Linked DNA regions of Saccharomyces cerevisiae S288C. Changing the gene in region 4 together with the main gene of any one other region gives a genetic interaction. Each region holds a gene or a part of one and is shown on either strand. Other genes may lie near its edges.

Evidence for each region.
Region 1: mutations in PRK1 (region 4) and YKE2 together harm fitness more than expected from each alone (negative genetic interaction), as found in Saccharomyces cerevisiae (3 studies listed by BioGRID, with this or other methods).
Region 2: mutations in PRK1 (region 4) and ABP1 together harm fitness more than expected from each alone (negative genetic interaction), as found in Saccharomyces cerevisiae (7 studies listed by BioGRID, with this or other methods).
Region 3: mutations in PRK1 (region 4) and GIM4 together harm fitness more than expected from each alone (negative genetic interaction), as found in Saccharomyces cerevisiae (5 studies listed by BioGRID, with this or other methods).

What each region holds. Positions count from the first base shown.
Region 1 is NC_001144.5:542,303-549,856, reverse strand, and holds YKE2 (tubulin-binding prefolding complex subunit YKE2), read right to left. Parts: upstream 846-7,554; coding exon 501-845; downstream 1-500. Other genes in the region: ubiquinone biosynthesis protein COQ9, read left to right, coding at 1-346; PBA1 (Pba1p), read left to right, coding at 1,088-1,093, 1,180-2,004; snoRNP complex protein NOP56, read right to left, coding at 2,246-3,760; rRNA-processing protein PWP1, read right to left, coding at 4,159-5,889; glycylpeptide N-tetradecanoyltransferase NMT1, read left to right, coding at 6,553-7,554. UniProt on the Saccharomyces cerevisiae protein: Binds specifically to cytosolic chaperonin (c-CPN) and transfers target proteins to it. Binds to nascent polypeptide chain and promotes folding in an environment in which there are many competing pathways for nonnative proteins.
Region 2 is NC_001135.5:263,407-272,314, reverse strand, and holds ABP1 (Abp1p), read right to left. Parts: upstream 7,248-8,908; coding exon 5,469-7,247; downstream 1-5,468. Other genes in the region: FIG2 (Fig2p), read right to left, coding at 52-4,881; YCR087C-A (uncharacterized protein), read left to right, coding at 7,848-8,309; CSM1 (Csm1p), read right to left, coding at 8,351-8,908. UniProt on the Saccharomyces cerevisiae protein: Regulates ARP2/3 complex-mediated actin assembly. Recruits ARP2/3 complex to sides of preexisting actin filaments, which may promote nucleation or stabilization of filament branches. Binds to actin filaments, but not actin monomers.
Region 3 is NC_001137.3:146,635-149,099, forward strand, and holds GIM4 (tubulin-binding prefolding complex subunit GIM4), read left to right. Parts: upstream 1-1,541; coding exon 1,542-1,560; intron 1,561-1,648; coding exon 1,649-1,965; downstream 1,966-2,465. Other genes in the region: VAB2 (Vab2p), read right to left, coding at 1-121; YEA4 (Yea4p), read left to right, coding at 317-1,345; WBP1 (dolichyl-diphosphooligosaccharide-protein glycotransferase), read right to left, coding at 2,088-2,465. UniProt on the Saccharomyces cerevisiae protein: Binds specifically to cytosolic chaperonin (c-CPN) and transfers target proteins to it. Binds to nascent polypeptide chain and promotes folding in an environment in which there are many competing pathways for nonnative proteins.
Region 4 is NC_001141.2:177,630-187,270, reverse strand, and holds PRK1 (serine/threonine protein kinase PRK1), read right to left. Parts: upstream 3,335-9,641; coding exon 902-3,334; downstream 1-901. Other genes in the region: LYS12 (homoisocitrate dehydrogenase), read left to right, coding at 1-754; BMT5 (25S rRNA (uracil2634-N3)-methyltransferase), read left to right, coding at 4,144-5,154; glucose-induced degradation complex subunit FYV10, read right to left, coding at 5,294-6,844; FMC1 (Fmc1p), read left to right, coding at 7,032-7,499; SGA1 (glucan 1,4-alpha-glucosidase), read right to left, coding at 7,618-9,267. UniProt on the Saccharomyces cerevisiae protein: Protein kinase involved in the regulation of actin cytoskeleton organization and endocytosis. Phosphorylates PAN1 which disrupts the interaction between PAN1 and END3, and between PAN1 and SLA1. Phosphorylates SCD5.

The DNA.
Region 1 (7,554 bases), on a different chromosome or scaffold from region 4:
GGAACTAATGTCACAATTGGCTATTCCAAGCGCCTTTCTCTTTGAAACTGCAATTCCTGAACTACACAGATTGTCCGATGATATGATTTACTTTTCCAACGAAAAGGACCACCATGATTCTGCATGGTATGCTAAGAGATTGGCTGTTTCGAGCACCTACATTGGTTCAAAGTTATTTATGGCTCAGGATAAATCCCACAATTACAAAGAAACGTTTACTTTTGCAAAGGATAAATTACATAGGGTCATGCGTTTGGGTGAGTACTATAACAATACTGAAGAGTTTGCCTGGTATACGTTAATGTCTACGGTAAATTTAATCAAATCTCAATTAGTTAGGGGTTAAGCAATCTTACATGTCAATTTGAAGTTTAGGACAGTGAAATGCGTAGGTATTTTGTTTGTAAGTTACATAATTGTATATAAAAGAAAATTTTATTTTGGGCAGATTTATTGGTACTGTGCGCTTTCTTGTCTTTCCGAGGACCTGTGAGTTTGTTTTACCTTCCTGGGCCAGTGGAAGCTGCTGTATTGTTCAGTTTAATTAGCTCGCTTCTCATCTTTTCTAGTTCTTCCTGCTTGTCCCTTATGTTCTTTTCGCATCTTGTAATTTCTGTTTCGATGAACTCTAATCTTTTGTCCACGTTGGTACGTGCCTCACTTTGTTCAACTGGTAAAAGGACATTGCCTGTCAATTTGTACACAGGTGTATCTTCTTCTAATTGGTCAAACTCTTCATTTACAATCTTGTTTTCTTGTAATTGTGTCTCTAATTTTTGTCTGGCCACAATAAACTCTTCTAACTCATTTTGCAACTGTTGATATTTGGCACCTAATTCAGACATTTTTGCTTTTGTTCCTCCACTCAAATGTAGTCTTTTTCAATTCTGAAGTGGGATTATTTATAGATGACGTTTGACTTGATGAAGTTTTATTGCCTTTACTTTTTTTTTTCTTTCGCATCAAAATTTCAGACTTCATTGAAATCAATTTAAGAAGTTGCGTGGCAATAGGTGGCAACAGGCGAAATAATAAGAAACAGCGACCAAGATATCATCGCACTACAGTAAAATTTTCATTTATAGCGATGCTTGTATGTTACAATAATCTTTTTTCCCCATCATATTTTGCTAGAGTAGAGTGGTTTGACTAACTTATGTTACTTGATTCTTTTTGAAGTTTAAACAATGGAATGACTTACCAGAACCAAAACATCTGCTAGATCTCCCAGAGATTTCAAAAAACCTGCAATCTTTAGAAGTCTGCCCGGTTCCAAAAGTTGAGTTTCCTCAGGACTTGGATGTTCCTCAATATTCGACAGCCGTCATTACTACTAAGATAATGAACCCATTATTCCCCAAAAATCTGCTTCAATTAACCTCTATTGGTGAAATTAAAACTACATTGACGGTGAAAAGTCCAAGTCTTCCCCAATCTTCAGGTAAACACTCGTGGAATTACGACGAAAACTTTCCAAACGAGGTTGATCCTGATCAAAAAAATGACACCGCCGATGAAACAGTATATGGTTTTTCTTTCCCGATTTATTCATTTGGAAAGACGTTATTATTTTCTATGGAGGAGAATTTCATTAGTATATCGCCGATTTTTGGTAACATGATAAGTAGATCTATCATATCACAGTTAGCCCAGTTCTCCCCTGATATAATAGTAATTGGCACCTCTGATAAAATCGCCAGCATGAAGGTAATGACGGAAAATGAATGTACACTACAACCACCAGAATTTATAACGGGATTCATAGGAAGTGTGCTAACACAATTGATTGTCGGTCCCAGTAAGGGACTGAAATTTAAATGTCTTGTAGCGCCTAGTGAGGGGCCTAATGGATTTGAGAAACTTTCGTTGTCTGACATGGGTTCTTTAGTTGATTTGTGCGGTCAATGGCTTGGTTTTGAGCCTTCAAGATATTCTGAAGAATGCTATCGCTTATGGAGGTGTGATAGCGCGGCAATTGGTGCACAATCAGGCCTATATATATGAATGGCGATCACAGAATGTCAGTAATGGCGAGTGAAAGAGGCATAAGAGGGTACTTAAGCTCAAAATAACATATGACTTTTTTATTTAATAATATTTCTAAATATACAATATACAGCTTCCAAATCCTAAAGAAGAATATTAGAAGGGAATAAAAGATAATATATATATATATGAAAAACTTTAAAGGGAAGAAAAGTACACAAAAAGATGGGATATACTTTATTTCGATTCATTGTTCCTTTTAATCCTTACTTTTCTTCTTTTTATCCTTCTTTTCCTTTTTATCTTTCTTTTCCTTTTTGTCCTTCTTTTCCTTCTTTTCTTTCTTTTCCTTCTTCGATTTTTTCTCTTTCTTTTCCTTCTTTTCTTCATCATCATCTTCTAATTTTCTCTTCTTTGAGGATTCCTTTTCCTTGGTTTCTTCCACTTCTGCAGCTGGTTTATCTTTGTTATAAAGTTCCATGGCTTCTTGAATGGCTAATTCATTCTTCAAAGTTGGCTTACCAGTGTTGTAGAATTCTAATCTTTGCTCAACTTGTTTCTTTAGTACGGAACCAAAAACATTAGATGGTTCCTCAGAGTAATTGTCAATTCTAGAGGCCATAGAACATTTGTTAGCCAAGTATCTAGAAATACGACCCTTGTTCTTGGCAGAGGCCTTAGAAATAAAACCACTGTGGTAAATCAAACCGTATTTTGGAGTGTTACCTTTAGTTTTTAAAGCTCTGAACAAAGCCTTTTCAGCACCAAGAATTTGAACCGTTGAAGCTGCTTGCTTAGATAAATTAGTTAGGGAACCTGCGTGAGAAATTAATCTAGCACCAATCACTTCACCAATCAATTCTGATAAGTTTGGTGCAACAGTGTGCATTTTTTCGCATAAGTAATCGTATAATTGTCTTCTGTAATCAGCTAAGGAAGCGACTCTCTGAGCGAAAACACAAACATTTTCCATATCGGTTTCTGATATATCTTGTCCCATGGAGATACGGGCATTGTCAATGACTCTTTGTGCAATTCCCGAATCCTCATTCAAAAGAGCAGCCAAATCATGTAAGGAGTCATCGTTTAATGAAGCTTTGTCCTTGATAAAAAGAACCAACTTGGCAAAAGTGTAGTTGTCTGGTACCAATTTAGCCAGTTCGGGGAAATGCCAGCCATACCACTCTTTAACTCTCATAGCAAAAGTGTTGATATCTTTATCTAATTGATCTAATAAAGCAATAGCTTGAATGATGTGATTGTCGTTCTTTTGAACAGAGAACTTCACTTTAGCTCTGGAGTAAGCGTGACCTAAACCTAATTGGGCTCTTTCTAAGTCACCAGATTGTAGACCTTTGAATAATTTTTCGCCATGTAATCTGACACCACGAATCAAATCCTGAGCAAGTTCATTTGAAATACAATCAACATATGGAAATTCTTCCTTAATAGAAGGACCTAAGTTTTTATCGGAAATAGCCAAAGTAATGTTCTTCTTTTTCGAGGAAGCCTTTGGTAAGTTTAAATCCAAGATAGCTTTCAAACTCTCAGAGACTAAACCTTCTGATATGTCGTTAGCATTTTCAAGGGCTTCAGCAGCACCTTTGAATGGCGCGAAAGATACAAGTTCGATTAACTTTGTAAAAGCACCAAAATCATTGATTTGCTCTTGAACTTCTTTTAATCTTGAACCAATGTCATCTTGTTGCAACTTAACCTTGAAAACTGCGTAACCAGTAGGTTCTTCAAACAGTAGGTATTCAATAGGAGCCATCTTTCACTAAATACTGTTCTGCACGCTTCTTCTCCTAGAAATATACCTTCCAAAACACTTTTAATAACTACTTAAAAAACTGTAGACACTACGCAATTGCACAAAATTTTTCATTTCCCATCTCATCACTCAAAAAAATTTCACTTTGAAAAAAAAAAAAAAAGAAAATTTTCACATCGCATTCTACGAGCGTATATATGCCGGGTGATATAAAAAAGTTACACAACTGTAATTCACCACATTGTCATCATATGCTAAATTATACCGTAACAGCACATATTAATGTATTATATTGTTTTTTTCTGAGGCTCCTCTTACACTAGTATACAGTATTATCTTCTATAGATTTTTTATTTGTACTTGCAATGTACTCTGCTTTAATATTTTTCATATCCAGATTATGCCATGTCATCATGCTCATCTCCACCTTCTCTTTCTTCTTCATCTTCACCTTGATCATCAATGGTTATAACAGTATCTGGGTTATCGTTACTGGTGTATTTTCTGGCGATTCTTGAACTTTTTCCTATTTTTTGGGCTTCTTCTTTTGCTCTTGCTTGAACATTCTCTAGTTCACTTTTAAAGCTCTTACGTACAGATCTATTGGTAAAAACGTCCCATAGTTTCAAAACTTTATTGACACCACCAATGACCATGGTACCCGCTACCTCGATGTCTGGAGCGAATGACGATGTCAATACATTTCCGACATCGAAATCACGAGACAGAACCATGCTTGGGCCCTTAGTGTTCGTAGCATCATCCAAGGGGAATTTCCATAATTTGACAGTCTTTTCACCCATGGCCCCTGTACTCATCATACCAGGGATGAATTTGTTTGAACATAATGTGGAGATACCAGCATCGTGTGCCTTCAATGTCCAAACTGGTTTACGGTTTTCATTGTTTCTAATATCGAAAGAATACACATTACCAGAATCAGTACCACATAATATTATATTTTCACTGGCAAATGTAACAGTTTCTATTTCCTCACCTGCCATGGCAGACCAGTATTTACTCATTTGACTTTCGTCAGAAATTCTAACATCTGTTAAAGCTACTCGAGAATCATAACCACCGGTCAAAAGAATGGAACCATTCAACATGTGCCATTCAGATGATGAAACATTTTTGTTTGAATGAATGGAAGCTAAGGAGCGGGCTGCGTTACCTGAGTTCAAATCCCATAGTTTTACGGTATGATCTGCAGAGGTGGATGCTAAAACGGAACGGAAATATTTGTTGTGTGCCATGGATAAAACAGCATCGGTATGATGAGTAGTAATGTGTCCAGTCTTAGACTTCTTCTTCTTCTTTTTGCTTTTCAAAGACACCATTGAATTATCAAGAGGTTCACCCAGAATCATATCGGGAAAGGCCTTGTCAACACAGTCCAAGTTCCAAATTTCAATTTGTGGATCAAACGTACCAATGGCAGCATAATTGGCTGCTTCTTCGGAATTGGATCCAACCTTGTAGTCAAGCCACTCAACACATAGTGGAAAAGCAGGCAACATTAAATCATGGTGAACGTAAAGTGCAGGGTCACGAACCAATCCACGAGCAACATCTGGGTCAGCTTCATCACCTTCTTCAACGGGAATATCGCTACTGTGGAACCCAGCACCGTCATCGTAAACGTAGATATCCAAATACGAAACGTCATCTTCTGTTCTCGCAGCAAGAACTAAATTATCGGATGGGTAAACTTGTAACTCCTGCTTCTCCTCTTGACTATCCTCTTGATTAGGCAATGAAATATATGGATCTTCACCTTTTTCACCCTCATGGAATTTAACATCGCTATCATTACTTAAACCCGGGAACATGGAAACGTCTTTACCACCCTCATTATCTGCAATTTCCTCATCGTCATATTCTTCCAGGTTATATTCTTTCAAATCATCATCTATATCCAACTGATCCTTCAACTTATTAGAACTACCTGTTGCGGCGTCATCTTCAACACCTGATTCGCCTTCTGCTTCTTCCAAAGTAGCTTTAGCATCATCCAAATTCAACTGTGCTAATTGGTTAATTCTTTCCACTTCCTCATCATCCAGAACATACTTTTCAGGAAATTCCGAGGAAAACCCTCTTGGAACCCAATTAGTAGCAGAAATCATTAGTTATTTTGTTTTTTTTATTCGTCTTCTAAGTTTCCAAATAAGGAAGGCGTAATAGACTCAACTGAGGGTACACTTGCTATCGTTTACAAATTAAAACTCTTTGCTTCTTTCAAACTCATCTCAGCTCATCGAGACAAATTTTTCACTTCTTTTTTTCGAGGGCGAGAAAATTTATTACCCGACTGGATATAATATATATAGAATAATACATATGATCAACTCAAGGTAGGGCCTATGGAAAAGTTTTACAACGGACAAGGCAATTAAATTGAATTGCACGATTCTCTAATTTTTTATTCTTGCAGATTTGTTTCATGATAAATTCGCCAGTTAGAGTTCTTATTATGGGTGGGTAAGAATTCAGTTAACGTTTAAAATTCTCAATATTAATCGCAAAGTGGAAAGCAAAGCAAAGTCTCACTAGAAATTGCAGGCGGACTATGTATAATTACGTAATAGTAGTTCTTGCAACAGAGGATCCTTTCGACTCTTTTGAAAGGATACTGTCATAAAACAATAGGATAAAATAATTTCAGCCGTTGCTCATGATAAAAGTAATTCACTATAATTGAAGATGATATGTGTTGCACGCTTTTTAGAGAATGATCTGTACAATAGCTCTGGTTGTCATAGAGCTTCGGTAGTAAACGTATTTATAGAATGTCAGAAGAGGATAAAGCGAAAAAATTAGAGAATTTATTGAAGTTATTACAGTTGAATAATGACGATACTTCAAAATTCACTCAAGAACAGAAAAAAGCTATGAAAGACCACAAATTCTGGAGAACGCAACCGGTCAAAGATTTCGATGAAAAGGTGGTGGAAGAAGGCCCCATTGATAAGCCAAAGACACCGGAAGATATATCTGACAAGCCACTACCTTTATTGTCTAGCTTCGAATGGTGTAGTATTGATGTGGACAACAAAAAACAGCTTGAAGATGTTTTCGTTCTACTAAATGAAAACTACGTGGAAGACCGCGATGCAGGCTTCAGATTTAACTATACCAAAGAATTCTTCAATTGGGCTTTAAAGAGTCCAGGTTGGAAGAAGGATTGGCATATTGGTGTTCGCGTTAAAGAAACACAGAAATTAGTTGCCTTTATCTCAGCCATACCAGTAACACTTGGTGTTAGAGGTAAACAAGTGCCTAGTGTAGAAATCAATTTCTTGTGCGTTCACAAACAGCTAAGATCGAAGAGATTAACACCTGTTCTAATTAAAGAAATTACGAGACGAGTGAACAAATGTGACATCTGGCATGCATTGTACACGGCAGGTATTGTTTTGCCAGCACCTGTGAGTACGTGTCGTTATACTCATCGTCCCTTGAATTGGAAGAAACTTTATGAAGTAGATTTCACAGGGTTACCAGATGGGCACACAGAGGAGGATATGATTGCTGAGAATGCGTTACCGGCCAAAACAAAGACAGCGGGATTGAGAAAATTAAAGAAGGAAGATATTGACCAAGTTTTTGAGTTGTTCAAAAGATATCAATCCAGGTTCGAACTAATTCAAATTTTCACAAAAGAAGAATTCGAACATAATTTCATTGGTGAAGAATCGTTACCATTGGATAAACAAGTAATTTTCTCATATGTAGTCGAACAGCCCGATGGAAAAATTACAGACTTCTTCTCATTTTACTCATTGCCATTC
Region 2 (8,908 bases), on a different chromosome or scaffold from region 4:
AAAGAGTGTCTGTTTATAGCATATATACGTACATATAATATATACGGGAAATTAAATGAAGTTGATCACCATTACCATTATCATAAAGAACTTACTACAGAGAAATTTTGACGCCGAACCAGCATACGTACTGACAATGGGTGTAGTAATCCAAGTTGAGGATGCAGCAGCAACAAAAGAAGTAGCAATCCCACTGGAGGAAAGTCGTTGCTCGACATAGGTCGTAGTTGTTGGCTTTGGTGCTGAAGTTATGGCCACTTTTGTTCTCGTTATTATCGTCGTTACTGATGGAATTACAGTTTGGCTGGAACTTGTTATGGTTATCAGTTCTCCATTAGTATCACTGGATGTATATGTAACTGGCTTCACTGTAGTAATTGATATAGTGGATTCAGTTGAATGCACTTCCACTGATGTTGTTGTTATGGCACTTGGGGTAATGACAGACGTCATCGTGACGTATTGAGAATTTAGCTCACTTGTAGCGGAAGCTTGGCATCCTTCTCCACTACATGCAGATATTGTAGCGCTTGATTTATACGTTTCGGATACTTTACACGAGTAACCATCACAGCTGCTAGATGTGGTTTTCTGGCACTCAGATCCAGTACATGTCATAGTATCAGTAACCGTAGATGGAGGAGTAGTGGCAGTTGAAGTCACATCGTCACAGTTGGATCCATTACAGATAGTGGATACCTCCTGTTGGCATTGTGAGTCTGTGCAAGTTAGTGTTGCGATGGAAGTAGTTGGTTGTAGAACAGAAACAGTGTCAACAGTTGGTGATATAGAAAGAGATGGCAACGATGCCAATGATGATGATGATGATGATGATGATGAAAACTGAGACATCAAAATAGACGACGAGACTGGCGATAACGACAATGATGATTTAGAGGACAATGGTAGAGAAGACGCTATGAAAGTGGAGGAAGATACTGCTGTTGCTGTTGGAAGTGTTGATGACGTAAAAGCGGGAGATGGTAAAGAAGTGGATAACAACGAAGTTGATGATGGCGAAGATGCTGATATAGAGCTAGATGATGGTAATAACGGGACAGAGGTGTGTGTTGACGTTAGTGTTGATGCAGTTGTTGTTGAGAATGATGATGATGATGATGTAGAAACAGAGGGGGAATATGCTAACGTTGAAGCAGGTGAGGATGATTGTGTTGGCACATCTTGCGTACATTCAGTACCTGAGCATACTCCTTTCGACAAATATCCAGATGAAGATTCTGATTCTGTTGAAGTGCTCAAAGAAATAGAAGTAGATGTTGCAGATGAAGCGGAAGTAATTCTAACTTTGGCTGTCGAGGAAGTTTGAGTAGTAGCACCTAAAGTCGATTTACTTGTTAATGGACACCAAGTCGTGTATACAGTCTTCAAACCACTTATGGTGGTGGTAGCAGTAGATAATGTATATTGAATAGAGGTCTGAGATAAAGATGAGGATGGTTTTGACGACGAAACAAACCTGTCAACACTGCGGGAAGATTGAGAAGAAGCAGCTACAGTAGATTTTTCTGCCAATGGACACCAAGTTGTGTACACAGTTTTGATTCCGTTGATTGTTGTAGTAGCTGTAGATAGTGAATATTGGGAAGGTGTAGAAGAAGAAGGTAAAGAGTACCCCGAAGAGAAGTTGTATGGAGAGGTAGTACTACTGGGCTTTTCATTTGTTGATATGACATTAGAAGAAGAGGACATTATTGTATTAGTTAAAACGGTATTTGACCATTGAGAGACAGATGTGGTGGAGCGTTTTTCTGAACTTGTGAATGCCAAAGGCAAACTTTGCGTACTGACAGAAAAGGTGGACATTTCTGAGGAGGCTTCTAAGGAACTTTTTTTGGTGGAGGCTAAAGAGGAACTTGACGTTGAAGAAGTTAAGTATGGAAAAGGAGTACTTCTCATTTGCACAGATGTAATAACAGTCGGTGTGCAAATCGAATTAGAACATACTTCGGTACTCATAGTTACGGTTTGATGGGATGACAATGTCACCTCTACTGCCTCCGTTTGTAGAGTTTGAGAAGAATGTCCATTAGAAGGCGTGCCTTTCGAAGTAACAACCTCGGTAATGACTGTTGGGACACATTTGGAATGGGAACATACCTCTGTACTAATAATTAGGGTTTTTCGGGAAACCACAGTAGTATTTATCATTTCAGTAGACAAAGCCGGGAAAAGTAAGCTTCCAGTAGTGGTAAAGTTTTGAGTACCGAGAGTGCTAATAGTTTCGGAAGCAGTAGAAACCTGGGATGTGGTTGAACTCTCGCTAGCAGTGGCCGTCGCAGAAGTAGCAGACACTTGAGTGCTAGTACTAGTAGCTTCGGAAGTAGCAGAAACTTGGGTATTAATAGTTACTTCAGAAGCAGCGGGATTTTTTGCACCTTCGGATACTGTAGAAGATAATACCGTAGAGCTAGAGGTTGATAAAAGGGGGATTGTAGAGCTTGTTGCAGTAACACTGGTAATAACCGTTGGAGTACACTCAGAATGAGAGCAGACTTCAGTGGTCAAAACTAATGTTTTATATGATATGGATGTCGTATAAGCAATACTTGATGCCGGGCACCACGTTGTGTATTCCGTAGCAGCACCGTTCACCGTTGTTGTGACAGTAGAAAGCACAAGCGTTTGCATTCCGCTGGTCTTTAATTGCGTAGTCGTCAATGAATAGTCTTTATTTGACGAAGTTTTGTGAATATTAGATATAACTGCGATGGTTTCGGTTGAATTTGAAGTAAAATCAGTGAGTGAGTTCACACTAGAGCTCACATGTTGGCTGGCTTCTGTTGGGTTAGATACACTAGTAGATGGATACTTGCTGGTCGATCCAAATGTAACGGTAGAGTTAGTAATGGTCGCCGTAGAGCCTTCTGAAGATGAAAAATTTGGATAAGAAGATAAGGAAGACGCAAGATTAACTTCACTGGTGCACAAATAAAAACTATCCGATGTGCCACTAAAATAGGTGGGCTCTGTGATTGAAGTACTTTCGGTCATGAGATGGGTGTTTATAGTTTCAGTCCCCTTAAATGTGGCATCAGACAATTGTAAGGTCGATATCCCCAATGTTAATATTGAAGATGGTTTAGAGGTTTGTGTGGCGCTAATCGTGGATGAACTGATCCCAATTGCTTGTGATTTGGTTTGTGTTAGAGGACACCATGTAACATATTCGGTGATCACCCCGTCAACCGTTTTGGTGGCCGTAGAAACATAAGCCGGGGATGTGGTTGACGTTACAGACCCTTGTGTATTAGTTGTGTTGATGACAACCCAAGTGGTTTGTGACAGCGGAAGAGAAGAGCTTGACCAGTCCTGGTATTGTGAACTTCCGCTTGCAGTTGATTCAGGAACGTTGTTCGAGGCAGCAAGAGTGCTGGAATTGGAGCTCAAAATAGAACTACCGCTAAATGAGGAGGCTTGTGGAACGCTAGAAATGGACGAACTGACCCCAATTGCTTGTGATTTGGTTTGTGTTAGAGGACACCATGTAACATATTCGGTGATCACCCCGTCAACCGTTTTGGTGGCCGTAGAAACATAAGCCGGGGATGTGGTTGACGTTACAGACCCTTGTGTATTAGTTGTGTTGATGACAACCCAAGTGGTTTGTGACAGCGGAAGAGAAGAGCTTGACCAGTCCTGGTATTGTGAACTTCCACTTGCAGTTGATTCAGGAACATAGTTCGAGTTCCCTTGTGTACTAAAATTGGCGGTTGAAATTCCCACAAAGCTAGATGCTGTAGAACCCACTGAACTAATGGGGTCTATTAGAGAAGTAGCCGAATCTGTACCAAATGGTGTGGAAGCAATAGAAGCAGTGAAATTAACTGTTTCACTTTTTGAGGCCCGATTTAAACTCGACAATTGTGTAGATGAATATTCACTCGTAGTTGTAAATAGAGAAGGATCTATTGAGTTTGAAGTCAAAACATCGTAGTTACCACTTGTTTTAGAGGGGGGGCTCGTAAAGTTGTGTGAGATTGAATCAGAACCACTTGTTGGTGCCATACTGGATGACCTCAATGTTGGTGGTAATGACGATGTGGCGTCAACAAGAGTTGGAATAGTTTTTGAAGTTTGGTCATTGGTAGTAGCTTGAATAGTTGAACTCAATATTAAATCTCCTGAAGAACTGGACAGAGGCTCCAATGGGCTGAGTAGTGAGGTCTGGTTAGAATTTTTTGAAGAAGGAGAAGGAGAATAAGATGAAGTTATAGTACCGGTGGTATCGAAACTTTCCAGGCTCTTTGGAGATGTTGAACCTGAAATCTCAGAAGAAGTAAAATCTATGGTTGAGGAAAGAGCGCTAGATTTTTCTGAGTTAAATGAAGTCCAACTTTGAGATGGATTAACTGACGTAAATGTCAATGAAGTTGAGGACGGTAAACTAGAGGATGATGGAGCAGTGACTGGTAGCTCGAATGAAGAGGAAGAGTGAGATGTCCTATGAGGTTGTGCAGTTGAAGAAAGGGTGGACGAGGCTTTCTCCGATGAGGCAGCTGAGGTTGATATTAATGAACTTGTTTCTTCATCGAAGATATCAGAGTATGAAGAAAAAGTATCAGAAGTTATCAATGAGGAAGAAACTGCATAGCTGGAAGAAGTTTCGGTAGGAGCTTCAAAACTTGTTAAGAAGCTAGATGAAGTGAAGGAGTCTATTGAGGGCTGCACATACGAATAAGAGGATGAATACTGCACTTCGCCAGTTGATGAGGACTCGTGAAAATCTGCTATTGAGGTGGATACTAAAGTAGGGACAGGCAGTGAAGTACTACTATTCTGGTAGAACACAATTTGAGCCTCTACTCTAGTTAAAAGGTTTACTACTGAATATATCAGACCTAATGACGCAAATGAGTTCATTGCAGTTATATTCGGTAGATGATAGCGTATTTTTGTAGTGTGCTTTTCCTATAATTAAAGGTATGAAAATACAGAAAGACGTGGAAACTTCCATTGTACTGAATTTAATTCAGCTTTATATATCTACTGGGAGACTCTTCATGCATTTCTTAATCTTAACGTTCCATTGTAGCTTAAAACTGGTCTCTAACAAATCTATACATAGACTAGAAGTAAATCCGAAATAGTGAGCATAAGGAAAGCACCATGTACCATACACTTCTGGTAAACACCTGATGCGATTCTAAAACAGCATTATGGTTGTAGTAAGTATCAGATCTGTATGCGATGCAGGAGTGCAATAAGTTTGTTTCAGTGTTGTTTTATGTTCGAGGTTTTGACAACGCCGTACGGGCACACCGTCTGTTGAAAAATAATACTGTAGAGGAGTCATATAAACGCTTGAAACAAAGAAGGACAAGGCAAAATAATTTGTTCATTTTACTGAAAGGGAAGGCTCGTGAAAGTATCTATACAAAAGCTTTAACGTCTCTGTAAGTATTTTTTTACGTAAGAATAATATAATAGCATGACGCTGACGTGTGATTCTAGTTGCCCAAAGACACATAATTGCTGGGGAAGAGACCTTTTGAGCCGTCTTTCTCTAGTTCCCCTAGCCACCAGTCATCGTCGACAAATTCAATATTGATAATCTTGTCATTTTCCACAAAGGTCAGTTCGTTATCTTCTGCAGCATCGTAATCATATTCTGCTGTGGCCCAAGGATTTTCCTTTGGCTTTTTCTCTGGAGTTGCTCGTCTTGGAGGCGGAGGAGGAGCTGCAGAGCTTCTTGATGGCAGCTGTGGAGCGGCTTCCTCAGCTTCTTCTTCAATTTCTTCTTCAGGTGCTTGTTCAGGTGCTTCTTCTTGTTTTGGAGCTGGGATCGAGTTTCTAGAAGGTAAGCTTGGGGCGATCTCTTCTTGTTCAGGCTCTTCTTTTTGCACTGGTGCTCCTGACGCAACATTCCTCGAAGGCAAAGGAGGTTGAGCAGCCTCGTCTTCATCATCATCCCAGTCATCATCATTCTCTTCTGGTTCTTCCTCATTATCCGCTTCAATGTGCATACCGGGTAATGGGTTGCCGATCTTCTTGTAATCAGTCTTAGGCTGCTCGGCTTCTTCAGCTTTCACAGGTTCTTGTGGCTTGGAGAAGGGTTTTGGTGAGATAATAGTTGGTTCTGATTTCTTTGGAGGAGGAGCAAATTTGTTTTCCATTTCTTCCTCCTCTTTTTCTGAAGCGGCCAATCCTTCAAATTTTGATTTCAAATCTTTGACGTCAGGTTCACCTTCAGGCTCATCTTCTGGAACTTCAGGTTTTGGTGCCTCAGCCTTAGTTTCGGCGTTGCCGCTGTTTTGCTTTGCCTTTCTTTCGGCCCATAATTGAGCAGGTGATTTCTCGTTTCTAAAACCCTTAATGACTTTATCATCATCATTCTTTAATGAAGATTCCGTCATGGAGGGGGGTTTAGTGGTGCCCAAAAAGGAGTTAAACTCGGAGTCCCTCTTTAATTTTGATTCGTTCTTTAAATTAGCGATATCAGAACTAGGATCAATCTTGGAACCAGCAGCGGTTGGCTTTTGAACAAGACGTGGGTCCTCCTTAGCCTTTTCTTCAGCAATCACTTTTTGCAAGTCGATTTTGCCAATTGGTTTGTAAGATGATTGATTTGGTTTCAGGGGAGCCTGATCGAAGTCGCGTTCCTTTAATTCAGGCTCATTCCAATCGTCGTCGTCATTGTTGTCGTTAACACGGGAAGAAATCTTAGCAGCAGGTGCTGGGGAAGGAGTCTTGACTGGTTCCTTCTTAGAAACTGGAGCAGGGCTCTTGGAAGGTGTGAAGGATTTCTTCACGGGAGGAGTGGAAGCCTTCCCCTGTTGCTTGGAGGAAGTCTGAATAGAATAACGGGCACCGGCCGCGTTACTGATTTTCATCAACAGTTCATTTTCGTCAAGATCGTCCTCGTCTCTGGCGGTAACTTGAACGTGGTAACCCTTGAACAGATTATTAGCAACTGCAGCAAAATTGGCGGCGAAAGAGGCCCTTGTCTTCAATGGCGCAGAATCAGGACACCAACCAATGATAATAATCTTCTCAACGTCTGACCCTGGTGGGGACACACGTGCCAGTCCGTACTGGACCTTGGTTTCATCAAACAATTGCAAGAAATCGTGAAAGGAGGAACCGGTAGACTCAGGTTCGTATTCTTTTTTCGCATTGGGTGAAATAATCAACCAGGTGGTGTCAGGATCGGAGCCTCTGACAATCTTCAGGTACTCTGCGTCGATCTCTCTCGAGTGAGTAGTATAATCAATAGGTTCCAAAGCCATTGTGATTGATAGGTGTGTGCGTGTATATACGTGCGGTTATGCGATTGTTTGTTTATAGATTGAACTATCCAATATGGTATACTCCTATTATATCCTTTTTTTCTACTTTAATCGAGGTTTTCCGCATTGTGAAAAAACAAGTGGAAATAAGAGACACAAGGCCACGTGACGCACATTTATACAGAAATACATCAATGGTTGCATAGTAAAGCGAAAACAAGAGTTCCTCGAGGGCGTATGATGCTTGAAAACGATTAAAATCCTATGGAAAAGGAATGCCTTTTCCCTCCATTGCTGACGGGATATTGTGAACTATTGACTGTCTCATTTAACTTCCTAAAATAAGTGCTCTCATGGACAGAGATATCAAAGTAACGTCTAAATATTAGCTTTGTGACTACTACATTGATGCAGATGAGTGGACTAGCAGCATCTCATAATAAATAAATCAAAAATAAAGGTTCATTCTCTTTTGGTTGCTTTTTGCCTTGACGGGAAAAAGTGAAAAAAAATTGAAAATTTTTAACTTGCGATGAGCTCTAAGAGTATTCTGTATACAACAGCAAACGGTCTCAGTCAAGAAATATTTGTTATTACAGGATGGTTACGTTCAACTGTGAGGTGTGTAATGATACTGTGCCCAAGAAGAATACCGAAAAGCATTATTATAGATGTCCTAACGCGTACTATACATGCATAGATTGCTCCAAGACGTTTGAAGATGGCGTGAGTTACAAGAATCACACGTCTTGCATCAGCGAGGACGAGAAGTACCAGAAAGCGTTGTACAAGGGCAACAAGAAGCAGAAGCAGAAGCAGCAGCAGAAGCAGCAGCAGAAGCAGCACCAGCACCAGCCAGTGGCAACTCCTGCAAAGAAAGTGGAGAAGCCTGTGATCAAGAAGGCAGAGAAAGTGGAAAAGACCTCGAACGGTATCGAGCTTCACAAGGGCAAGTCGTTGTACAAAATTTTGAAAACCATGAAGGATAAAGGGGCAAAAAAGACCTTCTTGAAAAGTCTGGTTGTGGATTCTGAGGGGCAAATCAGGTATGCAAAGGAATAATCGGAATTTTATGTGTAGATATATAGACATTATGTAGCAGCTTACTCGGTTTCATCTTTTTTCTCTCTTTTCTTATTCAGGCTTTTAGCGATTTTGTTATAGAATTGGTTTAGCGACGAGAGGGGGAAACTCAACGTTTCGAAGAGGTATTCCGGTAGTTTCGACTGTAGCGAGTATAGTTCCTCGGTGGATCGCTGTTTAAGAACGGGCGCATATATGACTTCTGTGACTTGGGCCTGGCCCTTGACAAATCCGAGTTTATAGTCCATTATCGAATAATCATCGGAAGATCCCCCTGAGTGGGTGCCCTGCGAGATGTCGAACCACAACCCAGAATCATCCTCGTAGCTTTTATGTACACGTACGTTACAGAGGTACTCGTAAAGGTCCTTTATGACTTCTGAATTTTCTGCCTGTTGGGAAGTCTGAGTCTTCAGCTCCTTGACTTGTGCGTTTAGCGAGTCTATCTGCTTCTGCAGCTGTTTGATCTCGGTTGCTTTTGTATCCAGCTTCTCCGACAGTACGAAATTCTCATTTACCAAATTTGCCACTAGTAAGTCTGCGGAATCGATCTGTTGTTTCACTGAGTTTTTGTATAC
Region 3 (2,465 bases), on a different chromosome or scaffold from region 4:
TTTTATGGGATGCAAGGGGAGGTAAGCCCTTTAACTCTTCGTAATAGGAACTGCTTCCAACGGCATCAAATTCTATTCTTGATTTCCATTTCAGTATACCTTTAGTTAAGTCTGCTACCATGCTAGGCACTCTCTGCCTTTCTTATGGTTTGGTTACGCATACTCTTCCTTTATATATTCATTGTCATATTTTAAGGAAGCAATCGCTCCCGACGCAAAGTAAAAATATTCAGTGCTTTGCACTCCAGTTAGAAAAAATGAAGAGAATTCAATTGAGAATAAGCAGGGAAGTAATTGGATTGGGAGAATCTAAAAAATGTGGAACTCACTAAAAGCATTCGCTCTAGTGTTCGGAGGTTGTTGCTCCAATGTTATTACATTTGAAACCTTAATGAGCAACGAAACAGGCAGCATTAATAATCTCATTACTTTTTGTCAATTTTTATTTGTTACATGTCAGGGACTCCCCGAATTTCTGGATGTTCATCAACCTTTCCCTTACTTCAAGCCTCTGAAAACTCCACTTCACGTTTATGTCATTACTGTCGTTTTATTTTATATTTCATCTACGACGAATAATAACGTATTTAAATACAACATATCCATTCCGATTCATATCGTTTTCAGATGCTTCGGAACCGTAATAACCATGTTTACATGCTGGTTATTAAATGGTAGGAAATATACAAAGATTCAGATTTTATCAACACTATTTTTAACCATTGGAGCTATAATTGCCTCATTATTCAAAGATGCTGATTTTCGGTACCAAGATTTGAAACTGCAAGCGTGGAAAATTGGAAGTGACCAATCTGTAGATCTCACTTTTATTTTTGGCATTTGTATACTAGTACTTTCATCATTCACATCATCTTTACTTTCAGCATACAATGAACGTACGTATCAAAAATATGGAAAGCATTGGAAGGAGAATATCTTTTACAGTCATTTTTTATCATTACCTCTCTTTCTATTTAGTCGAAAGCAGTTAATTCACGAATATCGAGTGATGAGAAAGTCTGAAAGAATATTGTGTTCAAATTTTGGAGGGAAGATTCTAGTCCCGCGAGAAGAAACTCTCCTTCTTTTCAATGTGTTAACACAATATTTTTGCGTCAAGGGTGTTAATATCCTCGCCAGTAAAACAAACGCTCTGACACTTTCCATAACATTACTTGTAAGAAAATTTATAAGTCTTTTACTGAGCGTCCGACTTTTCGATAATAACTTGTCATATACTGGCTACATCGGGGTCTACCTAGTCTTTTTTGGTGCCTTTATATACTCGCTGGGATCAATTCACCCCAGGCAAAATGACAAGGGGGCGATAAAGAAAAGTAAATGAACACACATTATAAACTAACCTTAAATCCTACTTGTATGTTCCTTAACTCTATATTAGTGGTGTTGACGTAAGTTTAGATAAAATCGCGAACGCTGCCGCCTGGAAGTAAATGAAAAAAAAAAAAAAAAGAATTCATCACCTAAACTCACTAATCTTTAAAACTCATTCATGAGAAGTGGAGAACTATATTACAGCTATGGAACAAAGGAACAACGGTATGCAAAATTTCGATCTCTGGGTTTTAATAAATGCATGTAGCCAATTTTATCTTACTAACAATCTTTGTGTTTTCTCTGTGTATAGTCTTTCAAGCAAAATATAATGAATACAAACAAATTTTGGAAGAATTGCAAACAAAAATCATAGAATTAGGTCATGACAAAGATGAACACACTATAGTCATAAAAACACTGAAAGACGCTGAGCCGACGAGAAAATGTTACAGGATGATAGGTGGCGCACTTGTTGAAAGTGATGTTCAAACGAGTTTGCCTATTCTTGAAACTAAGAAGGAAAACATAGAAGGTACAATAAGTAAAATGAAAGAAACCTTAATACAAACTGCAAAAGAGTTTGAAAAATGGAAAAAAGACAATAAGATTCAAGTCGTTAAAAACTAAACCATATATAAAATCTATTGCAGTACTTAGTTTGGCAAAAAATATAAATAAACACAATCAGGTACTCTTATGTATTTATGTGAGCCATTTATAAAGAATTATAAAGGATATGAAAACATATATTAGTTTGTTTTTTTGAATGTTTCAAGTTTCTTGCCAACAGAGGAAGTCGTAACGAAAGAAACAACAAAAAATATCCACGCAACAATGACGCCACAAATGGCGCTAATATAAACCCAAGAATTGCTGATTTCCCAACTTCTTGGGTATTCATCATTAGCAAGGTGACGGATAGCTTTAACGTCTTTGTCAGTAGTGAACGACAGGCCAATCTTACGATAGTCAGTGAGGAATGTAAACACTCCATGGCGGTCTGGAAGGATGAATTCACCGGTGGTGTAATACTGAGTTTCAGAATCGTTTCCGCTTGGCGACAATGTTAGACGGTAGTACGGATCCACTTGTCTTAGTTCAAATTGGATATCATCAGCGATATGTGG
Region 4 (9,641 bases):
TAATGTTCGTCCTGTTAAGTCTGTAGAGGGAGAAAAGGGTAAACCAATTGACATGGTTATCGTCAGAGAAAATACTGAGGACCTGTACATTAAAATTGAAAAAACATACATTGACAAGGCCACAGGTACAAGAGTTGCTGATGCCACAAAGAGAATATCCGAAATTGCAACAAGAAGAATTGCAACCATTGCATTAGATATTGCCTTGAAAAGATTACAAACAAGAGGCCAAGCCACTTTGACAGTGACTCATAAATCAAATGTTCTATCTCAAAGTGATGGTCTATTCAGAGAAATCTGTAAGGAAGTCTACGAATCTAACAAGGACAAGTACGGTCAAATCAAATATAACGAACAAATTGTGGATTCCATGGTTTATAGGCTGTTCAGAGAACCACAATGTTTTGATGTGATAGTGGCACCAAACCTATACGGGGATATATTATCTGACGGTGCTGCTGCTTTAGTCGGTTCATTAGGTGTTGTTCCAAGCGCCAACGTAGGTCCAGAAATTGTCATTGGTGAACCATGCCATGGTTCTGCACCAGATATTGCTGGTAAAGGTATTGCTAACCCAATCGCCACTATAAGATCTACTGCTTTGATGTTGGAATTCTTGGGCCACAACGAAGCTGCCCAAGATATCTACAAGGCTGTTGATGCTAACTTAAGAGAGGGTTCTATCAAGACACCAGATTTAGGTGGTAAGGCTTCTACTCAACAAGTCGTTGACGACGTTTTGTCGAGATTATAGAGCATATAATAGGAAAATAGAAACGAATAAATAAATGAATGAGTGACAAGATATATTTCAAAAAATTTCAAATGATTGACGAAAGAAAATTTGTACATTTTGTATGACTTTTAATATTACATAGTCTATTATGTGTGAGAGCAAGTTTTAAACTTTGCTGGGAAACCTTTTTCTAAAATCGGCTTCTAAATCATCTACGTTAACATCAACAATAGTTTCTGTGGCTTCGCTGGAAATTCTTTCAATCGGCAGTTTCTTTGATTGTAAACGACTAAAGTTTCTTATCTTCTGAATTTCTGTCCTTAAATGTAGTGGTTTTGGTGGTGGACGTGGTGGTCTTGATTTATCTTTACCGTTGCTTTTCGTTTTGATGTCCAAAACACCATCCTTAAGGGTTTTCTTAAACTTTTCTTCTGTGATTGGTGTTATTCTTACACTTGAATGTCGATTGGAAGTTTCTGTACCAATATCTGTATATTTACCATACCCGGATGCGGATTTATACGTTACCGGATCATCAGAACTCTTTAGTAAGTTATGCACTCTTCTTTGAATTGATTCCTTCTTTTCTTGATTTATATTAACGTTGCCATTATCTGGTATCAAAGTAGGCTTTGATGTCGTTTTAGCTGATGCTTGAGTTTTCTTCACTGGAGAATGAGACCTGTAATAGTCCCTTGATCCAGTTCTCGAGTTATTCCTCTCATGCTGGTCAAAATCTGATAAAATTGAAGGAGGCATACTGCGACGTTTTTCCAGTCTCTGATTCTTGTCTGATTCCTCTTTTCTTTTGGTATCAGAATTAAATTTAGGAAAGGAGGAGGTTGAAGACGAAACTAATCGCCTGTTTGTATTGTTACCATTGCCGTTGACATTGTTATTATCAAAGGAAGCAGACCTGCTATTGTTCACTGAGTTTCCTGTAAACCCATGACGAAGCTTACCAAATGCTGATCTGATACTATCACCAGTATTTTGCCTTGATTTAATCGGAGAATTGCCGCGAGATTCACCAGTAATAACCTTTTTTAACTTAGAGCTTAGTGAACGCACAATCTTGCTTCCATTTATATTATCTGGAGCAGCAATTTCTTTTGTGGAGCTTAGTGATTTGCTTGTAATGGTGGGAGATAGTTTTAAGTTTGGCACAGCCATGTTATCTATAGTTTGCGTCTCAGAATCAACGTAGTTATTTGGACGATTTATTGCCGAAACTCTATCAAAAATGTCATTATTAACAGGAGTAAGCGATAATGGAGGCATAGACTTCCTTTGTGGGGATTGGAAACTTTCTACTGATTTGAAAGTCTGAGACTTTTGAAAAGGGTGTAGCTCTTTATAATATAGTGATGCAAATTCATCAGAAAGTGGAACGGATTTTGTTTTCATTAAGGGACTAGTCAAATTTGAATGGCTTCCAACCTGTAAGCCAGCATGCGCCGTTACTTCTGTCTTGTTATTATCATTAATAGATATAGGGAAAGTACCCAAATTAGGAGTAGTACTGACGTGAGTTACAGGCATCATATTTGGTGGCTGGTTGATGCTCTGAAGGCTTTGTACGGGAATAAATTTCTGTGTTGGAACATAAGTTGTCGAAGACGGTTCACCGGCCAATTGGGTATTCGCATTCTGATTCATTGCTCTTAACAAGTAAAAATTTCTAATCGGGCAAGGCTTATTCTGTAACCTGGAAACCTCCTCTAAAACTTGACAAATATTTGGCCTCTGAGATGGTGCTTCCATTAACATAAGACGTATCAAATTTTTCAACCTGTCACTATACTGCGGAAAGGATGGATATTGATACCTTGCATGTAGTATACCGGCTTCACCACTTTTTTCAAACGGCGTAGTATAGTAACATATTTTGTAAAGAAAGACACCAAGAGCCCAAATATCAGATTTTTCGTCGATAGGTAACCCTCTGTACAGGTCAATCATTTCAGGTGATCTATACTGAGCTGTAGTATTTGTTAGGATGTCGTGTTGAACATAATTAAACTCTTGAGTATTTCTAGGTGGCCTTATCACACCGGAAACGGAACCAAAATCACAAACTTTATACAAGCCATCATGAGAAATAAGTACATTCTCAATCTTAATATCTCTATGAATCAATGGCGGCTGCAGAGCGTGCATTGCAGTTATACCTTGGACGGTTTGACTCATAATTTCTAATATTTCAGATTCTTGTAATCTATTTTGTAATCTGGTGTTCATAAAATCTATAAGACCTCCACGTTCACAAAATTCCATTAACACAAACACCTCATATGCTATACCATTTACAGACCTTGCAGCATGTGAATCTATGTAAGAAACAACATGCTTATTATTTCTAAGGAGTTTCATAGCATCCACTTCAGCTCTCAAGGTATTTAAACCCTGTTTATGGGGGACAATGACTCTTTTCAAGCATGCTATGTTAGCATTGCTATATGGGTCAGGAGGGGAAATTTCGGCAGTATATACTTGTGCGAATCCACCACTCGTAAGGTATTTGATAATCTTAGCATGATGAGATCCCACAGTTAATATTGTCCCGGGTTCATACAGACTAATCTGTGGAGTATTCATTGTTTTTGGATCAGTTCAACTAAAGATAGGAGGTTACAAATAATCTTGATCAACACTTCAATCAAAAAAGATTTTTTTCGCTGAAGATAATAAACTATCCCACAATGGAAATTCAACCTGTATTAGCGAACTAACTTATGTTCAAGTGGAGCCTGTGACCTGCCTGCTTGGTGACTTTTTTAGCGTTTCCTAAATGTACTGTTCTATATTTTTCTTTTTCCAAGACCTTCGCTCTGCATACGCCTGCCTGGTTATAATTACAGTTTTTTTTAAAAACCTTTACTAAGAATAAATAGTAACAGCTAGTGCAAACTAACGACATTGACATTTACTTGATATAAAATAATTGAGAGCGATCATATATATCGGAAATCTCTATCAGTACTAATATTAAATTTACATGAAATACTTCAACAAATTCCTGGTCTCTTGGCCCAGTTGGTTAAGGCACCGTGCTAATAACGCGGGGATCAGCGGTTCGATCCCGCTAGAGACCACTTATTTTTATGACTTCTTGGAAGTCAATTTTTTTTTCCTTCTGAATCAGTAATAACAAAAGTCGTAGTTGATCTTGTTATTGGATCATGTACATCAGTATTATTAATGATTTTAGTATTTCAAGCTGGCTCCCATATTTTTCTCCTGTAGAAAGAATGTAAATTATTCGGAAAAAAAAAAAAAAAAAGAAAAGAATTGGCGATGCGATGAGCTTAAAAGAAAACCTTCCATTACTTAAATTCATTGGAGCCTGACAACGTTTAGTAACGTTAAAATCATAGATTAACACCAATCATAACCTAAAATTATCAATGGCCAGGAAATTGAAGGGTAAGATTGGGAGTAAAGGCCTAAAAGGTGCATTATTAAGGCACAAGGCCAAAGTGAAATTAGTGAGGAATATTGAAAGTAAGCAAAAACATGAACTAAGAAAGAAAAATTCGAGCGCTAATAACAAAACCGTGAAGAGAAACCAAGAATTCCAAAAACTTAATCAAGGGAAGGTTATGCCCTTTGAGAAGGATGAAACTTTGATGCTATGTGGTGAAGGAGATTTTTCTTTTGCCAGATCCATTGTTGAACAAAACTATATTGAAAGTGACAATTTAATCATAACAAGTTACGATAATTCTGTGAATGAGCTGAAATTGAAATATCCGCATACTTTTGAGGAAAATTACCAGTACTTAAAAGATCTAAATATTCCGATATTTTTCCAGATTGACGTTACGAAGCTCGTAAAGAGCTTTAAAATTTCCAAAAATAATACTTGGTTTAAAATAATCAACAGGCTTAGCGATCATCGTTGGGGTAACAAACCTTTACAAAATATAGTTTTCAATTTTCCCCATAATGGAAAAGGTATTAAGGATCAAGAAAGAAATATTAGAGAGCATCAGGACTTAATTTTTAACTTTTTCCAAAATTCCTTACAATTATTTAATCTTATAAACACGAAAATTCAAAATGATACTCTTCGTTATACGCAAGGCTATGATCTTAATGAGGATACTCCCCAGGCTAAAAAATTGACCGCCGAAGGTTATGGTAACATCATACTGTCCCTTTTCGATGGAGAGCCCTATGATTCATGGCAAATCAAACTTTTAGCCAAAAAAAATGGACTAACTCTGAGCAGATCGAGCAAATTCCAATGGGAAAATTTTCCAGGATATCATCACCGGAGAACGAATAGCGAACAAGATACTACAAAACCTGCGAAAGAACGTGATGCTAGGTTCTACATCTTTAGTAAATATGTCTCGAATAGTTCAAAACATAACCGTAAAAGCAAAAAAGACACAGATTCTGATTCAGACTAAGTACAGAAGGAAGAATGTCGCCATGTTGATGAAAGAACTTTCATTTTCCCTAATTCTTATATAGCGTAAGTATCTGTAAAATAGTTGTGAAAGTTGGACAAATCTTTATATAAAAAAATGCATATAGCTTGAAACTATTTCAGGTTGGGTACATTTTGATAGAATCTGATTCGCAAAATATTTTCATGTCAACTGGATCCATAATTTGACCTGGATTTAAAGAAATTAAGTTTTGCTTTTTCAATGTTTTGGCCAATTTCTTCAATTTTTTACTGTCGTAAACATTTCCATTTGGTAATAGTATTGGATTTTCAAATAATTGAGACTGAATGTGATGAGCAAATGGTAATGCCTGTGTTATTGGTTTGAAAGTCTCACTGCAAACGGGACAATTTTTCCTTTTTAGTGAATGTAGCGTAAAGAGTTGTAAATCTTCAACTTCTTTCTCTGCTGTTGTGGCAGTTTCCGTCTCTTGATTTCCATTTTCATCGTCAGAAGGGTGCAGGCAATCTCTTGTCTTCAAAGACGATATACCTAGTGACAGGTATATCAATAAAGGGTCATTTTGTGATATGCCATACATGGAATAAAAGTCGCTCAAGAATAAATCATTTAATACCGACCATCTTTGATCATCTAATAAATTCAGATATCTTTCGAAATCTCCACTTTGTAAATTTATTAAGGAACTCTTGTCATAGTCTGTTGTATTCACCGCAGGTTTGGAGGTAATTCTAGGTAAAGATTTGTGAAAAAAATGTTGAAATATTCGATCTTTCTTCATTGGTAAACTTTGAGACTTAATCTCTTCAGTATCGAATCCAGAGCTGGTAGAAGAAGTTGGCTTTTGATCATTACAGTATTTGATAAAAATCAGAAGTCCAGATGCTAATTTTAAATCGGTGAAGTTGCTCTTAACGAATGGTAAAAGGAATCTTTGAAAACATACTATAGCGTCGGTATAGTTATCCACCTTTAGTAGTTCAATATATTCTTGCAATCTTGCTTGAAACTCTAATATAGAGGACTTTTTGGTCAGTGTCTTTTTGTTCTCGTTTATCCATGAAATTAGGGGTAAGAGATTACGCTCATGTAGTAACGAAGTCGAAATTCTATTAGCCTCCAAGAGGACATCATAATCAATGAGATCATCCAGTTGGCTCTGTTTCAAAAACACTACGCCAGAGTTCCAATGATCCTTTGTCTCCGAGTTGTATTTAATCGGGTTATTCCTCGTCAGATAATCACCAATTAAAATGTTTGTATAACTCTGATACCACTGTATCAATTTAGTCCTGGTACCCTCATTATTTCCATTGTGCGATGTTCCTGAATTTTGTGACTTGATGTCCTTCAGTTCGTGGAAAAACTCCAGCCTTTTTTTAATTCTGTTCAAAATCTGACAGTAGGACTTGATTTGCGTATTTAAAAATCTTTCTATATGGTCAACTTTCCTAATCATTTCAGTTATTTTTGCTAGTGCCAACTCGTCGTGCTCAACGTCATTATGTTCAAATATTTGATTTAATGCGGCCGTGTGTTCATGTAGTGATTTGGTTTCCTTATTAATTACCGCTTGAGTATGCTTGATACGTTTGGACAGTAGTTCATAAGGAATATGAAATAATTGTTGATTTAATTTCAAATGGAAATCCACATCAGGCTCATTAAATATTGATTTCTCTGCCATGGCTTACCTACTTTCCTATAATTTATAATCATTTTCTCTGTTTTATGTATGAAATTGTAGATTTAACCACCCCCTTCTCTTCGCCTTTGCAAAAAGTGAATATCTCAAATTGCACTAGAGTTTCATTTGCAGCGATAAGTGGATAACAAAAAGCTGAAAAGAGAGAGAAAGAGAGAGTGCCAGGGAAATGGATAGACCAAGAACATTACGCACATATAGAGGACTCATAAGAGCCATTCTGAAATATGAAAGGCCAAGCAAGATAGTCAATTGGGGCAATCTACGAAAGGCAATGATAACAAAGTTGGAATATGCTAAGAAACAAAATCAGAGAGACTCGCATGAGAACATCAACAGACAGTTAGAGAAATGGAAAAAACTAGATCCGGTAAGCGACAGATCTTTGAATTTGTTTATAGCCGACTCTAAGTCATTACGTTCCATATTACAAAACGATATAAAGTGGGAGAAAAAGGTGGCCCAGGGACAAAACGTTGACGAGATATTCGAACACGCTTTGGACATCATCAAGTTCTTGGACAACCAAAGAGAATACGAGGAGCTGGTCGACAGATACAATCCTGGCAACAAGTTGACACAGGATGAGAAAGTGAAAAGAACTGCAAACGTGGTTGGGCTGGACGTTCCGACATAGTATCTAATCAATTTATAATATCAGAGTTTTGTAAATAAGTATATATATATATTTGATGTAAATATCTAGGAAATACACTTGTGTATACTTCTCGCTTTCCTTTTATTTTTTTTTTTGTCTACAAACTCTGTAAAACTTCTTGTCTTATTTGATAGGCATCCCAGAATGAAGTATAGGACCAGGTAAGGTGTTGGGCACCCTGCATAAACCCTGTGTATTTGTTAAATTGTTCACTTAGTTCCCCGTCTGTTCCCACGTGAGCTTTCAGCTTGACCAAGAATGAATCAGCTAGTTGGAAGATTTTTTGTATGGTTTGATTGAAGGCAGGTGTATTGAACTCCAAAATCAAATAGCCTTCGTCATTTCCCAAAGTCGTGAGGTTGGAGAATACCAGCTCGCTCCAAAATGCGTTCGAACAATCGTTGTTCATTGGGACAACCAAGTCATGCTGCTCAGAGATGTGTCTGTAAATGAGCTGATAAAGCGTTGTTGAAGCGGTACACGTGGCCAGGACCCAGGGATTTCCCTCGCCAAAGCCATATCCATCATATACGTCCTCAGGATACCGGCCCAGGGCAATACCCGTTGCATTTTTGGAGCTATCGTTGATGGGGTATATCGAACGCATGTGCAACATCAAATGGTGCAACGTGTTCAGGACGGCAGGGTCATTGATATCGAACGGAAGATGGGAAGCAGATGGCGCATCGTGGACGGTGTTCGCAGCTAATAAAGTGGATATGTCCAGTCCGGATCTCAATGTGTCGGCAATCATGGGTGTCCCAACAATATAATTGTACTTGCCGTTGATAAACCCATTCGCAGGGTCCACTAAAAACTTGGAGATGTCCCGGCGTGTCTGACGCAATTCTTCAACAAAGGGAGACGACCGTTCTGAGGCGTTAAAATACGACAGCGACTTGTCCACTGCAGACAGTTGTACCAGTAAAGTAAAGAAATGCATGCCATTGACTTCCTCCCATAGATCAAATCCGGAAGAATTCCAGTGGTCAATAATGAACCTCAGGTCCCAACGTACAATATCATCAAAGATATCTGCGGTGGACTGGAATGGGTACTTGGCCCCCAGATCAGTGCCAGATTGCTTGATGTAGTCGATGATTTTTAAGATGGCAATGCTTCGAAGAGCAGGCCCATCGTTTTGAGGACGACCCCAATCTTCCGTGAAAGCCGTGTTGTCGACGTTCCACTTAGGGTCTCCCAAAGCCACTGTATCGTTAGTGTAACCAATGCCAGCGCCCAATGTGTTGTTGCTTCTTTGCAAGTGGAATGAAACGTTCAGGTACTGCAATAACGTCTCTATTGCCGGGCCCGCAGAATGAGAGACAATACTGTTTATCGTCAACGCGCTGTCCCTTATCCATTGGTAGAAGTAGTCTGGATGCGTTTGCGATGGTGACGCAATCACGACCCCAGGCGAAATAGACGGATACACGGCGCTGGGCCCAATATTTTCAAATATTTTTTCGATGGAAACTTTTTTCTGTCCCTGGAGCCATTCCTCCAGCGCACTACTGTCCCAAGCGCCGTTTGAATCGTATACCACTGTCCCATTCATCAAGACTGCATCCCGCAGCTGCACTTGCGAAGGGCCGTTGTTTGAAAATACACCGCCGTAGCTTTGATCGAGAATGCCCTTGCCAAAGTCAAATTCGTATATAGTAATGTTCTCGAGCGCCCAAGCAAACCCGAATCCTACGCTGAGCATGCCGAGTAATTTGTTATAAAACATCTTTTGTCTTGCCATTTTGCTGCTGTTACTTATTTGAAATCTTGCTCTAGTCCACGATTATCACTATATTGTAAATGTACGATTTCTTGTGTAACAGAACAGATAACGGATCCAGAGCCAAGAGATGAGAAAAAATACGAAATGCGCAGGAGGAAACAGGGAACCAAAAAAGGACCCTTGCTTCTGTGCCTGAGTCCCCTAATTTGTGACTCCACACATGCAGGCAAGTTAAAAGCACCTTGTACGAGTGCTATGAATGGGTGTTACTCTGGCCCGATTTCCCTGACTTTCCTTATTCACCCTCACCCCTAATACCCGTTTCCGCGGATAATGTTCTATGCTTCGAAGCGCCCCCCTTGCGCTGGGCCTCGAACCGCATCCATTGAACA